2 linked regions of the Pelodiscus sinensis genome follow. The protein of the gene in region 2 interacts with the protein of the main gene of each other region in a pairwise test. Links are inferred from orthologs where the notes say so. Each region holds a gene or a part of one and is shown on either strand. Other genes may lie near its edges.

Evidence for each region.
Region 1: the proteins of RRAS2 (region 2) and RIN1 interact in binary tests that used the Homo sapiens proteins (3 or more experiments, as listed by UniProt). The link is inferred for Pelodiscus sinensis from reciprocal best matches to the Homo sapiens genes RRAS2 and RIN1.

The regions. Positions count from the first base shown.
Region 1 is NC_134721.1:32,368,284-32,376,214, forward strand, and holds the start of RIN1 (ras and Rab interactor 1), read left to right. Parts: upstream 1-4,863; 5' UTR 4,864-5,194; coding exon 5,195-5,220; intron 5,221-5,358; coding exon 5,359-5,560; intron 5,561-6,176; coding exon 6,177-6,291; intron 6,292-6,457; coding exon 6,458-6,530; intron 6,531-7,634; coding exon 7,635-7,726; intron 7,727-7,931. Other genes in the region: BRMS1 (breast cancer metastasis-suppressor 1), read left to right, coding at 1-43, 708-747, 950-1,082, 1,870-1,987. UniProt on the Homo sapiens protein: Ras effector protein, which may serve as an inhibitory modulator of neuronal plasticity in aversive memory formation. Can affect Ras signaling at different levels. First, by competing with RAF1 protein for binding to activated Ras.
Region 2 is NC_134714.1:108,922,260-108,929,277, forward strand, and holds the start of RRAS2 (ras-related protein R-Ras2), read right to left. Parts: upstream 3,076-7,018; 5' UTR 2,842-3,075; coding exon 2,737-2,841; intron 1-2,736. UniProt on the Homo sapiens protein: GTP-binding protein with GTPase activity, involved in the regulation of MAPK signaling pathway and thereby controlling multiple cellular processes. Regulates craniofacial development.

The sequences.
Region 1 (7,931 bases), on a different chromosome or scaffold from region 2:
GCGGGACATCGACATCCTGGAAGACTGGACAGCCATCAAAAAGGTGAGGCTGACCCGCAGGACACCTGGATCCCTTAATCACCCTCATTCCATCGCACGCCACTGGCCACCATACAATGCCTAGTCCCCTCCCTTCACTCTCCCCATGTCCTCCAGCTGCCATGCAGGACACCTGGTTCCTCTAATCCCCACCCCTCATCCACCACTGGCCCCACACACAATGCTTGGGTCCCTTAAACCGCCCACACAGACCCTGAGTTGTTCTTCAGTACACCCGGGGTATCCCATAATAATCCCCTTTCTAGCACTGCTGTTCGGGATCAAACACCTGGAAATGGGATTATTTTCTCATCTATTCTTTATATACCCTTTTAAAAAGTCACCATGTGCATAGCTGGAAGTCAGGACTCCTGGGCTCTGGGAGCGGATCATGAGGTCTGGTGGGTTAGTGTGATAGGGAAGGTGGGGAAACAAGACTCATGGGTGGAGAATGAGGGCTGGAAATCAGGACTCCCCGGTTCTGTTCACTGCTGCTGAGTGAGTACCTTACCTTATGCCTCAGTTTCCCCATCTGTATGTCAGGCTAATGCTGCCATCCTTCCTGAGGGAACAGCATGGGTGGGATCCAGATAGCTCAGTGAGCAGCGGTATGGGGTGGAGTGTGCTCCCTGCATAAGTTTCTCTAATCATCTTGACTCTCCCTACAGGCTAAAGCAGCCGTGTCCCCCCAGAAAAGAAAAGCAGATGGTAAGAGCTGGGCAAGGGATGAGATATGGGGCCTTTTTCTCTAGGGGCACAGGTTCCAGTCTGGCCTCTGGTGTCCCCTCGTGTCTCAGCCAGGACATGAGCCAACTTGGCCCTGCAGCTGCCATCTGCTGCCAGCAGGGCCTATCCCCATATGTAGGGGCTGCACCAGCCCCCCTACCATTGACCACCGCTCTCCCCTCAGTGCTGGTGAAGGTGGAGAAGCCGGGAGCCCAGTTCTCAGCGCGCTGCGAGGACGGGCGACTGCATTACGAGGGTGAGATCTACAGCAAAGGGCAGAGTGTTGTCCTGGAGGTCGGGGACGAGGCGCCTGCGCAGTGAGTGGCCAGGAACTGGCTGGCTGGAGGGTATGGGGCACGGGGCCTTTCCCTTCTAAGCGGCACCAGCAAAGCCATCCCATCCATAGGACGGCATGGAGCGGCCATCCCAGCCCCAGGCCATGGGGGCCTCAGAGTGATCCAGGGAATTGCCTGGAGGCCTGGCTCAGGGCAGCAGGGGGTCATCCTCCCACTCACTGTGATGGTGGAAGCCAGAGTGACCTGGCAGCCTGCTCTGCTCTATCCTGCTGCCCTCTGCCAACCCGCTGAGCTCTGGGCATGTGATAGCCAGAAGCAGAGCGCCCCAGCCACAGCGGGCTGGAGCAGAGGGGGCTGCTGGGTGAGCTGTGTTACACCGCTGCTGTGGTGAGCGGTGTGTTACGCCTGCTGCCGCCTCGTCCTAAGCTCCCAGCTAATTCCCTGGATCACTGTGGGACTCAAACCCTCAATACCAGGGCAAGAGGAGGTAGAAGAGTGTGGGGTGAGGGCAGAGCTGGGGTGATGCTTGGAAGGGTTAAAGCTGTGGCAGGGCCTGGGATGGGGAGATTTGCTCTGGGTTTCACCTCTGGGGTATAGGGAGAGATGGTACTGCCCCAGGCCCCATTCCCCCTGGGAATGGCCCTGGGCACCAGCTCTGATCCAGCCCCAAGGCTGGCTGGCTCGGGGTAGGGAATGGGATACAGAGCCTTTTCCCGAGACGGGGTCTGGGGGACCCTGAATCCAGCCCCAAGGTGGAGAGGACTGACTGTCCTTGGGGGGGCTGGCATGACCCCTCTCTCCCCTGCAGGGCAGTGATCACGGCTGTCAGCACTGGGGAGGTCTGGCTGCGCCGGGAGGATGGCACCAAGACCAAAATCTACGTCTCGCAGCTGCAGAAGGGCAAGTACTCGGTGCGCAAGGCCTGAGTGGGGCTCAGCCCTGCGGCTTGGCACAGGCCTCCTCCTGGACACAAGGGCCCACAGCTCGTCTGCGGTGCAGCGAGGGGCTGGGCGGAGGCTCGGCTTGCTGCCCCCTTGCACTAGGACCCAGATGGAGAGGACTCTGGGGCCCTGCCCGGTGGAGTGTTCACATGGCCAGCGCTCCCGTCACAGATCCCTGCAGACAGACCAGCACGAGGCTTCACCGCTCGCTTCCCTCGCTAGGACTCTGGTGTTTGTAGCAATCTGGGGGGCACGTAACTCCCTGTGTCCGGGGCTGTTGTGCCCCACAGGGAAATAGGGATGCTGGTTCCAGGGGCTTCTGCAGGAAAAGCCCTGGGTCTTGACCAGCTCCCTGGAAGTGTTCACATTAAAAACTAAGCGAAACATGCACAATCTTGGCTCTTTGATTCATTTCAATGTATTCTGGGGAATAGGGATGAGCTGGCCTGGGGGGTGAGTGGGGTGTCTTCTGTATCCCTTTGAGGCACAGAATGTTCCCAGCACCATCCCCTCAGCTACGTGCGCTATCCCTTGTCTGAGCCCTCTAGACCTGCTGGCCACAGTTCCTTCAGGGCGTGGATCGCTTTGGTGTCAGGACCCTCCCTGACTCCAGCCTGTGCTGATTCTGGGACACACAAGTGGCAGCACCTTTGGGACCCTCCCAGTCTGCACTGTTGTCTTTTCTCCAGCCTCCCTTCCCTTTGGAAAAGAGAGCCACCTCCGCTCTGTCCCTGGCCAGATCCTACTGCTGGGAGCTGCTCACATGGGTGACAGTCTGGGGGGCCTTGTGTCTGAGCCACACCTGTTCTCATCTAGGCCTCCCCCAGCACCCTAGTGCAGCTGCCTGCACCCTGCCAGTGCTCAGCAGAGCAAGAGGGAGCACAAATGGGGGACCCCTCTGCATGAGCTGTACCCCAACTTCACAGGCCCTGGAGGGGCTACAAGGGCATTGGGGTGAGTGGGGCTGGGTCACAGGGGGGATCTGGCACAGAAGTGGGAATCCTGCCCTGATCTTGGTTCTTCCCCATGTTGGACTCTCAAATCCTACTGGTCCCTCCCCACAATGGGGCTTTCGCCTGATGCCCCATGAATTGTCTAGAAAACTGATCTCCTGAATCCCAGCCTCACACTACCCTTCCCATGGCTCAACCCCCTTCTCTGCTGGCCCAGCTGTTTGGGGTCTGGGAGCCAGAACTCCTGGGTTCTAGCCTCAGTTTTAAGAGCTCTATGGGGTCAAGTGGGACAGGAGCACTGGGATCCAGAACTCCTGGGCTATGTCTACGCTGGCGGGTTCATATGCAAGAACACGTCTTTTTGCGCAAGAGTGTCCATGGCAGTGTGGACACTCTTGTGCAAGAAAGCTCTGATGACCATTTTAGCTATAGGGGTTTCTTGCACAAGAAACCCCTGCTGGATGTCCACACTGCCCTCTTGCGCAAGAGGGCTTACACTTATTAGAAAAGAGTGTAGCTCTTGCGCAAGAAGCCCTCTCTTCCCACGCTTTACTGTAAATCTTCTTAAGCAAGAGCAGGCGAGCCCTGTGGACGCTCTGCAGAAGAATGGCTGTTATTGTGCAAGAACCCACCAGAGTAGACAGCCTTGGAGTCTCTCCTCAGTTTTGGAAGGACTGTGGAGTTCGCTGGGTTGGGGGAGTGCTGGGAGCCAGAACCCCAAGGTTCGGTTTTGCAGCTGGCTGTCTAACAGTGACAGAGCCCTCTCCCTGGTTTGTGCCTCGGTTTCCCTTCCTGTATTGGGAGCCATTGTGGTCTCCCTGGAGAGGGGAAAAGGCATCTGCAGGGCTCCAGGGTGGAGGATGGGGACAGATACAAAACCCAAGACAAAGTAAGACCTGGGGAATGATGCCCAGGGCCCCTGATGTCCAGGGTGGCCAGGCAGCTGCCAGGGTTTGGCTTGTGGCCTGGACATGCTCAAAGCCCAGCACATGTGAGTCTGACATGGGAGTGAAGGGAATAATAGATTAATAATGATGCTGAAGGTAGCAAAGAGGTTATGAGAAGGGGGCCCTGCCAGGGCCTGCAATGGGGGCCATTTGGATGGGAACTGGGAGAATGGAAGAGGACACTGGGGGCTCTGCCCGGGATGATCTGAGATGCCAGCTCCATTCATATCAAAACTTCACTCCTGGTAAGATGGGAGCACAGCCCAGCAGTCAGGATGGGGGGAGGAGGGGAGAATCTGGCTTGGTTCTGATGGATTTTCCACCTGTGGCTAACTTTCTTTGTCCCCTGGCTCCTCCTTCTACTGTCCTGGCTGCTACCGACTGTCCATACAGCCTACAGCCCTCGCATTGACCTTTCTCTCCCAGCTGGAAGAGTAGAGTCTAGTGCTTAAAGCAAAGTGCTGGGAGCTAGGACGCCTGGGAGCAGAGTGGTGTCTAGTGGTTAGAGTTGGGGGTGGATTAGGAGTCAGGACTTCTGCTTTCTGTGTTTAGCTGGGGGGTTGGAATCCAGTGGGTTCGAGCAGATGGGCTGAGAACCAGCACTCCTGGGCTCTGTGTCAGCTCTGGCTTGGGCAGTATGCTTTTCCGGGCCTCAGTTTCCCCCTGTACAAAAGGAGTGAGCTGGTAGGCTGGTGAGTTGTGCCTGCCCCGCTTGCCCTGGGGCTGGCTGGCTGATTAGATCTGCGCCCCCGCACGGGCTGTGCCAGCCTAGAGAGCTTTGCCTTGGGAACGTGACTGCGGGGGGGGGGGGGGCGTCTATCCCTGCCTGGGGCTGGCTCCGCCCGGTCCGGGCCTGTGCCATGGCTGGGTGTGACGGTGAGTCACAGCCGACGCGCATTCCACTGCTCCGGGCCAGGTTTGGCTCCCACGGAGCCGGGGCACTGGCTGTGGAGCCGATACCGGGACGCAGCTCTGTGTGCAGGGCTCCCTCGCCCCTGCCTCCCGCTATAGACCGCGCCGCGCCCCACCCCAGAGGCGGCTGCATCTCAGCGCCCCGCCAGGGCTCCGTGTCGCGTGGAGAAGCAAGTTCCCAGCAGGAGCCACGTGGGTCTGAGTCTTGCCCTTCCTGCTCCTCCTGCCGCCTCCCTCCCGGGGCGTTTCGGGGCTGGCGCAGGCTGGGCTGGGCTGCCCCGGGCCCGGAGAGCTGGTACCAGGGGAAGGGGGCGGCCCGCTGCGCCTCCTCTCCCTGGCAGAGGGAGCCTCGCACCTCCGCAGCCTGGTCACCCGGCCAGATGGAGCCCCCGGACCAGCCGCACGGGTATGGCCGAGGGGCCTGGGCCGGGAGGGGCGGGAGCCAGGACGCCTGGGTTCTGCCCCAGCTCTGGGAGGGCGGGGGCGGGGGTGGGGAGCCGCGACTCCTGGGTTCCTAACTCTGGGCTCCCTGCGCTCCTCACAGCCCTGCCTCCCCGCTCCGCCTGGCGCGTGACCCCGTGTACGATGTCCCGGCGCCGCACGTCTGCCCCCAGCCCAGGCCCGCACGGGGGGCTCCGACCAGCGTCAGCCTCCGGGATCGTCTGCTCCTCACCCAGCCCGTCTGGCTGCAGCTGAGCCTCAACTCCGCCACTGCCCTGCACATCCTGCAGCGGGAGCCGCCCGGGGTGAGGGGAGGGGGCTCTGCCCTGCTGGGCTGAATGCTGAGGGCAGTGGGTTCATGGGTCTGATGGGCGGCACGCTGGGGAGTCCAGGGGTCTGATTTGGAGGGGGCACACTGGCTGAGCCCATAGGTCTGATTTGGAGGGGGGCACACTGGGTGAGTCTATGGGTCTGATTTGGAGGGGGCACACTGGGTGAGTCTATGGGTCTGATTTGGAGGGGGGCACACTGGGTGAGTCTATGGGTCTGATTTGGAGGGGGCACACTGGGTGAGTCTATGGGTCTGATTTGGAGGGGGCACACTGGGTGAGTCTATGGGTCTGATTTGGAGGGGGCACACTGGGTGAGTCTATGGGTCTGATTTGGAGGGGGGCACACTGGCTGAGCCCATAGGTCTGATTTGGGGGGGCACACTGGGTGAGTCTATGGGTCTGATTTGGAGGGGGCACACTGGGTGAGTCTATGGGTATGATGTGGGGGGCTCCCACACTGGATGAGCCCATGAGGCTGACGGGAGATCCCACATTAGGTAGATCACTGGGGCTGAACAGGGCCCCGGTGGATATGGAGTCCACAACTCCTGCATAGCCCCTGCTGTGAGGTGCTCCCTTCTCACCCCAGACGTTCCTGGTGCGCCGATCAAACACACGCCAACGCCGGGCCCTCTGCTTGCGCCTCCTAGATGACCTGGCACCGGCCTTTGTCGCCAGCTACAGCCTGCAGGAAGGACCAGCCGGTAGGGATGTGCGCCTTAGGGTTAGCTGTGTGCCTGGTGCCCTATGGAGCCCCCCACTCCCTGCAGCATGGTGCCCCTGGCACAGCACTGGGCCAGTAAGCAAGTACTGACTTCCGGGGAGAGCGCCTCTCAGCACTGCAGGCTCTGAGGGTCCATGTCTTTGCAGGAGTCTCCCTGGAGGGCTCATCCCGGAGCTTCCCAGACCTGCTGCATCTGGTAGCCTCCTACTGCCAGAGACGGTGAGTGGGATCAAGGGGAACACTCTGGCTACATCTACACTGGCCCCTCTTCCGGAAGGGGCATGTAAATTTCATGAGTCGTCGTAGGGAAATCCGCGGGGGATTTAAATATCCCCCGCGGCATTTAAATAAAAATGTCCGCCGCTTTTTTCCGGCTTTTAAAAAAGCCGGAAAAGAGCGTCTAGACTGGCCCCGATCCTCCGGAAAAAGTGCCCTTTTCCGGAGGGTCTTATTCCTACTTCAAAGTAAGAATAAGAGCCTCCGGAAAAGGGCACTTTTTCCGGAGGATCGGGGCCAGTCTAGATGCTCTTTTCCGGCTTTTTTAAAAGCCGGAAAAAAGCGGCGGACATTTTTATTTAAATGCTGCGGGGGATATTTAAATCCCCCGCGGATTTCCCTACGACGACTAGTGAAATTTACATGCCCCTTCCGGAAAAGGGGCCAGTGTAGACGTAGCCTCTAAGATCTGAGCTCCAGCCTTCCCCTGCTCCCAGGGGACTAAGATCCTGTAGTGCAGTGCTCACCAACCAGTAGATCAGGATCTACCGGTAGATCTTGGTGCCTCTGCCAGGTGATCCTGACTGGTTTGGCGGGGAGGCTGTCACGTGCCGGTACTTCAACTGTTCCTCCCCACACTGCCTTGCTGCTCCTGCCCAGAGCCTCAAAGCTGCCCCCTGGGAACCTCCTGCTTGTTGTGCAGAGTGGAGGAGACAGAGGCAGAGGGCGCTGATGTCAATCTGTCCTGCTCCCCTGTACCCCATCTTGACAGAGTAAGGAGGGTGGGACCTCAGGAAAGAAGTGGGGCAGGGCCTCGGAGAAGGGGCAGGGCGGGGGTATTTGGGTTTGAGGTAGATCCCAGACTCACTTAGATTCAAAAAGTGATCTTGTGCTTAAAAAGGTTGGCAATCCCTGGTGTAGTGTCTGGGGCAGTGGGACTGGGGGAGGGTTATGGAGCAGAGGGAGTTGGGGCAGCTCTGAGGCAGAAGGGGATTGGGGAAGAGTCCTCAGGGAAGGGGGGATGGGTAGAAGGGGATTGGGAGGATGCCGCTGGGAGAGGAGGGAGCCCTGGAGTTGCTACTGGAGTCTGATACACTGTCCCCCTAGGGAGGTTCTCCCTGTGGCCCTGCGCCTGCCCCAGCCCATCCAGCAGGCGGTGTCACACAAGGAACTGGAGTCCATTTCCCACCTGGGGCTTGGTGAGTTGATCCCCCCCCCACACACACATCTCTCTTCCCCCATCCCCTGCCCCACATCTTGCTGCCCCTGCACTCCTCTCCCTGATCCTTCTCCCTTCAGGCCCCCTGGTCCCTCCCTCCCCACCCTCTGTCCATGCCTCATTTCCACTTCATCACCTCCATCCCCACAGCCATTCCACTTTCCCCATCACCCTGCACTCCCCAT
Region 2 (7,018 bases):
CCCCTGGTGGATGCTTTTGAGAAATGGTGACCTATGCTCTGGTGTAGACAGCTTTAGACTGACTGAAGCATCTGTTTATCACCTCTGAGAGATGGACTATTAACTTTAGGCATGGGAGAATTCTCCCCATCACCACAGTGAATGTCTACAGCAAAAGGCTACTGCAGCCCAGGTGCAGCATTTCTCGTGAAGACATAACCTCAATTGGGCTTGGGCTAGAAAACAGTACTGCATGCCAGTATTTCTCCATCAAGTTGATCAGTTTTTACAGAATCCTCTTTTAAAAGGCTTCTAACTTTTGTTGGTACAGAAAACGTCTTCCTAATTTGATCCTGATATTATGCTTAGTGTTTTTAAATATAGACGATAAGAAGCAACAACTGAAGGGCAGAAACCACCCCTATTTGAGCTGAATAATTTATTATGTCAACACCATTAGCTAAATCGCTAATTACTTTAATACAAACATTTGGCTGGATAGAGACCAGAATACCAACATTCTCCTTTACTTTGCTATGCATATCCCCCAGCCACCCCCCCCACACACACACACACTTTTTCTTTAAGCTTTCATTGTCCTCATAAAACCAGCCTTCTTATTTTCTTGTTGCTCATTTCCAAGTATATAAATTTCCTGTTAACAAGTTTTAAACAGGTTTCTTCATTTTCCACAACCAGTTATATTTCGTGATTATGGCCTACCAGGTAGCAGCTTCTGACATACAACTGACATCCTTCAATATCTCCTCCCCACCCCTCAGTAAAGCATTAATTCACTGTTGTAACCTTTTTAGCTGGGGAAAACCATTAGATGAGATGGCCAATGAAATGTTGACAATGCTACAAGAAGCAAATTCTAATGAGAAAGCATTTTAAAATATTGCAATTGTTAGGAAAGGGAGAACCCCCCTCTGGTTCTAGGCAAACATGAATGGGGACACCTCTGCCCCCCAAAAACCAGCTGGACATGTGTAGTATTCTATCCTATCTAGAATGCAATATTCTAGATACAACAGAATAGGACACATGTCCAACCAGTGGTCTTGGAAAAGAAACCAAGCTTTCAAATGAAGCTCTATGAAAACATCAACTAGGGCAGTGGTCTCCAATCTTTTTACACCCAAGATCACTTTCTAAATCTCAGAACAGACAAAGATCTACCGCCACGTCCCTTCCTTGAAGCCCAGCCCCTTCCTTGAAGCCCCGCCCTCTCTATTCTCCTCCTGTCCATCACTTGCTATCCCCAGCCCTTACTTACACACTCTGATAAACAGTTTATTTTTAAATTATGCGATTCATAAAATTAAAATCAGGTGTTTAGAGTTATGAAATAAATGGTCCATTTTTTAATCATGCTATTTAAATCTAAAATGAAGCATTTATAATTATACATTTTGTGGGGACAGATCTGCAGCTAGGGGCAGGGGAGAGGGAACAGGGTGCTGGGAGGGCAGAGGACAGGGTTCTACAGCAGGGGACAGGGTGCCAGTGGGGACAGGGTTCTGCAGCTGGGGACAGGGTGCCAGTGGGGACAGGAATGGGGACAGAGCTCGGGGAGTGGGGACGGGAATAGGAACAGAGTTCTGTAGCTGGGGCCAGGGGAGTGGGGACAGAGTTCTGTGGCTGGGGAGTGGGGTGCCAGTGGAGGCGGCAAGTCCCCTGCATCTCCCTCCTCCCAGGATTCTCCCCTCCCTCCAGGGAAACCAGCCCTTGCCTGCCCCAGGGCCGACCCCACACAGCGCAGGGAAGCCCTGAACGAACGCGCCTGCCCCGGGGTCGACCATTCCTCCTCCCGCATAGGGAAACCCCACGCACGTGCGCCTGCCCAGGGGGCCAACCATCCCCCGGCGCAGGGAAGCCCCGCGCGCACACCTGCCCCGGGCGGCCAACCCCCCCCCTCCCACGCACGTGCATGTCGGGAAACCCCCTGCAAGCCTCCCGCTGGGCTGACCCAGCCCTCCTTTAGGTAAGTAGCGGGGCTTCTCAGGGGTGGGTGGGAAATGGGGGCAGGACAGACAGGACGCCTCGCGAGCAACTGGTTGAGGCCTCGCGATCGACCAATAGCTCACGATCGACCTGTTGGTGACCACAGAACTAGAGTGACACACATGGGGTAGCCCTCACTCCCAAAGCTTTCTACAAGGTTTGCTTCTCACCTAGATCTAAACTTGGCAATGCATCTTCAAAGGACCTTGGAAAAGCAGCTTTCACATTGTGTCACTAAGGTCAACTAAGGCAAGAAGCAGACAAGGTACTTGCTAAAGGTCACACTGAAAGTCATTGGTCTAACACCTGGTTCTTACAACACTGCACACTTCAAAGCACAAGCTTAAACTGCCTCACCAGCATTCCCACCCTTGAACTCTGCTAAGAGGGGAGTGTCCAGCCCCTCGCCCTCAGAGCACGGGAACGGGGCAGGCACAACTCTCCCAGAGAAAGCCACCCCACCGCCCAGAAAACAGGCCATCTCACTCCCACTCACCAGCACCCAGGGACCAGCGCTAGGGGAGAGACCTGCCCCCCACACCAGGAAAAGCCGTCACCAGTGCCCGGGGAGCAGAGCCCCACTCCCAGTAGAGCCACCGCCCCACGCCAGCGCCCGGGCAGCTAGACGGAGCCTCTGAGGCGAAGCCAGGCAGCGCCCGGGGAACCGGGGACGGCAGCGCGGCCTCCCCTCGGCGCGGCTCCCGGAGGCAGACAGGCAGACAGACAGGCGGGCGGGCGGGCGCCGCTCACCTGGATGAACTGGATGGTGAGCGCGGACTTGCCCACGCCGCCGCCGCCCACCACCACCAGCCGGTACTTCTCCTGCCCCGGCCCGTCCCTGCAGCCCGCGGCCATCGGGGAGACGCGCCGGCAGCGCCGCCGGGCCGGGTCCGGGAGCCTCCCTGCGCCGCCGCCTCCGGCCGGGCCGGGCTGGGAGCCGCAGGCCCCGCTGCTGCTGCTCCTCGGGGCGGGGGCCGCGCCAGCGGCAGCGCCTGAAGCTCCGCGGGGCGGGGGAGCAGATCCCGCGCCCTGCCGGCTCCTCTCCGCGGCGGCTCCGGGCCAAGTGAGCGCGGCGGCCCCAGCGCGGCTACAAATGGCCGTCAGCGGGGCGGGGCCGCCTTCTCATTATGCTAATGACGAGGAATATTCATGAGGGGCTGCCGAAGGGGGGAGCCGGGGCAGGACGATGCAAGGGCGGTGCCGGCGGCCAGGGAGCCGCTCCAGGTGGCGGGCGAGCTGGGGGCGGTGTCTGCCCTGGGGTGCGGGCCGGGAGGCCAGAACCGTCCCCTCCCAGCAAGCAAAGGCCGGCCGGCCCCCCCGCGGCGGGCTGGCTCTGATGCGCCACAAGCCAGCCGGGCTCCCCGCAGCCACAGCGTGGAAACGGACCGCGTGTGCCCCCGAGAGCAGCCCTCGCGCCTCCCCTTTATGCTGCCCGCTTGCGTGGGCTCTCCCCGCGCGGCTCCTGCCACGGGCCCGGGCCCCCGCTATGCAGCGGCCGCGCAATAGTCCCCGTGTAAATGGAAACCCCTCCCAGCCTGGGGCATGGAGCGCAGCCCCGCGGCTGTGGAGCCTGCTGCTTTCACTAGCCAGCATGCTGGGTGCGCGGGGGTTAGTTTTATACACCTGGCCTGGGTGGCCGCGGGTGCCATGTGTACCGGACGGCATTCAGCCGGTGCTTAACAGCGGATGCATTCCCGCCTGGGCCTTTCGGTAGTACTCCGCACCTGCCAGCGGAACGCCTCACTGTCTTGAATTCATTCATCTTCACCAGACCTTCTTATGCGCAGCGCCGCTCCTTATGTCTGTACTACAGACGGGGAATAGAGGAACAAAGAGAGTGAAGCCACAGTTATCATTGCTGATTTGCTGTCCACTAATTTCATGAATCCAAATGGAGGCACCTAAAATCCAATTTCTAGAATACTTAGCACTTTTACCAGACTGTATGTTCAAAATGGGGGCATCAGTAGACATGGAGCCTTTGCATTAATAGCAAAACCCTATCACTGAGGCTAATGGAGTGATGGCTAACAGTAGTAGGCTGTTACCCGCTGGACAAATCCTAGATTCTATTCCTGTGTTTAGTAATCATTTCAGACTCTTCTTTCACTATCCCTCCACAGATCCCCTCTGCTGCCAGACCTATCTTGTACCCTGCCAGCCTGATTCTACTCTCCCTTTGCCCTTGTATGCCCCCCCCCTCCCGCTCTCTCTGCACCATGTCCTCTCCCCCCATCCCATTGCCACAGCTTGCCTCTGCCCACTTCTATCACCTCTTGGCATTCCAGTCATTTACCTTTGACATACTCCCAGAGCACTGCAGTTGGAGCAGTAGCAACACAGGAGTTTCCCTGCTCTCAGTTTCTAGCAGCATAAAGCCCCAGGCTGTTTGGCTGCTAGGAGGAGCAATTGCAGAAAAACGTTCTATTAAGCCCCTTGAATCATCTACTGCAGCATCCCCAGTATAAAGGCAATTTTCAGAAAATTTAGTACAACATGCTTGTTGATTTTATTCAGAAGCTTAAAACCAGGAGAATGCCAAAAAGCACAACACTAACATCCCTATATCCAAGTTTGACAAACTTAGCAATAACTGAAAACAGTGTCTTACAATGGAAACACTATAGGAATTGCTAGGAGCTCTCTAAAATGGGACAGGATCTCACCAGTGGCTCACCTTTCTCAAATTACTTCATTTGAACTCTAGCATGAGTCCTTTTCACTGAAAAAGAAAACATTGTTTACATTTTCTTTTTCATACTAAAAAGATTATATCACGTGACAGATCAAGCATTGTCTGAAATGTGTCACTATATAGATAAGGCTATTCCCCAGCAGCATAAAAGCCACAATAAAGAGCTATTAAATATAGAAACATCCCAACATTTGTAATACCAGAGTTGCGTATTGTGACCAGTCAAAATATGTCTACTATCTGAAAGATACCCCTAAAAGAACAGTCAGATCAGAGTTCTACATTTAGGTGTTTCTTCATCCAGCTGATGGAACATTGCTAGTAATTTCATTATGTGTGCCATGTCCCTCTCATAATCATTGACCTAGAACTATAGAGAACATAGTAAAACAATGTATTTCAAATGTCTGGACTCTGGAGCATGAATCACTGAGAAAAGAACACACAGCAATGACTGTTCAGCTGAAGTATTCTTCAGGTATTCATTCCAATGTTTTGAAACCGTGCTTGAATTTTAGGAGATCTGTGATAATCATACTAAAACATTTATTTTCATATGGGGAATGGATGAAATTTTAGTTCCCTCAAAATCAGAGAGTTTTGCCCTGGGAGTTGTCCACTACAAAAATCGCCACTACAAAGGCAATTTTCAGAACATTTAGCACATGCATGCTGATTTTATTCAGAAGCTTACAACTGGGGGAATGTGAAAAAGCACAACACTAACACCCTATCCTCTGTAGGGGCAGGATTTCACCCAACACAGCCCATAGAGCTCTGCTAAGCTCCTTGGCCAAAGTTCTAGGGAAAGAGGGGGCAAATGGCAATACTCCCCCAAGCCCACTCACAGCTAATGCCAAAGTAAGTGTCATGCTGCATAATTTACCTCATTAGTTTAAAGTTATTCAGAAAGCAAACATCTCTATATTTCCCTTACTTTTTTAGCTTTCCTATTTAACTTTCCATCCTTTCATTTGTTTTTCTTGCTGTTATACTAGTGAAACCTTATCATCATTCCACAAAAAGAGTCTTGATTTTTTTCAAGACTGATCATCAGAGTTAAAAGGTGATAACATTTAAAGTAAGTTGTACTCCATATTTTTTTAAATTTTCAAAAAAAGAAACTCCAAGCAGAGACTGAAACACATCCCGGTAGAAGTTGAACCGCCAAAATCCGGGATTCTCTGGTCCGGCAACATCCGTGGTCCAGATGTTGCTGGATCAGAGAGCTCTGGTGTACGGAAGTGTGAACCCCATACCAGGGGAGCCCCGGGCAGGCAAGGGAGAAGCAGGGCCATGGAGGCCGGGGCGCTCCAGTTATGTCTACACTGCAGAGTTTTTGCACAAAAACTTGTGGCACATCCACAACTCAAGCGCAATTTTGCGCAAGAAAATGTACAGTGAATCGACAGAACAGAGGGGTTTTTGCGGTATAGGTATTACTCTTTCTACGAGGAATAACTCCTTTTTGCAGAAGAGTTATTGTGCAAAAAGGTGTATGTGGACAGGAAATGGGGGTTTTTTGCACAAAAACAGCCTATCAAAGGAAGCACAGGTGTCCTGGTGGCCATTCTGTGACTGGCAATCAGAGCTTTCTTGCGAGACAGCATCCTGGACGCTCTCTTGCACAAAAGCGCATTGCTCTTCCGATGCGCTTTTGCATTGTGGATGCGCTTTTGTGCAAGAACTTTTTGTGGAAGTTCTCTTCATTGCACAAGAAGCCTGCAGTGTAGACGTAGCATCCGCCCCCCAGGGGTCCCTGGCCAGGCAGAGCAGCAGCGGGACCAGTGAGCAGCAGAAGCCAGCAAGCCCCGTCCCTGGGGGCAGTGGCAGCTGGGGAGTTCCATCCTGGGGAGCCACAGCAGACCTGAGCCCAAGTCTAATCCCTGCAGGCTGGAGCCCAGTGGCAGTGGGGCTGGAGTGAAGCCAACTGCAGGGAGGGGGGAGCATCCTGGGAGGCCAATGGCAGGGGACCTCCCCATATCTGACAAATTCCCTCATTTGGGAGGGGTCAGTTCCCAAGGATACCGGACAAGGGAGGTTCAACCTGTACTTATGATCTGTCTGTTCTGGCAGTCAAATCAAACTTCAGAAACAAAGCAGTATTTTGCCAAACATAAGATACCAAAAATTAATATATAAACAAATATGGAAAATGCCAGATAGCTTGTTTTAAATAATGTTTACAGTCAGACACAAAGCCCCCCTCCCCCCCCCCCCCCAGTAACAAATGAGGGTGTGTTGTGCCATAGAAGCTCTGGAGGGTTTACAGTTTATTATTCTGATCGGTAACTTCACACATGGAAGTAACCGAATGAAATCAACACTCCACCCCCC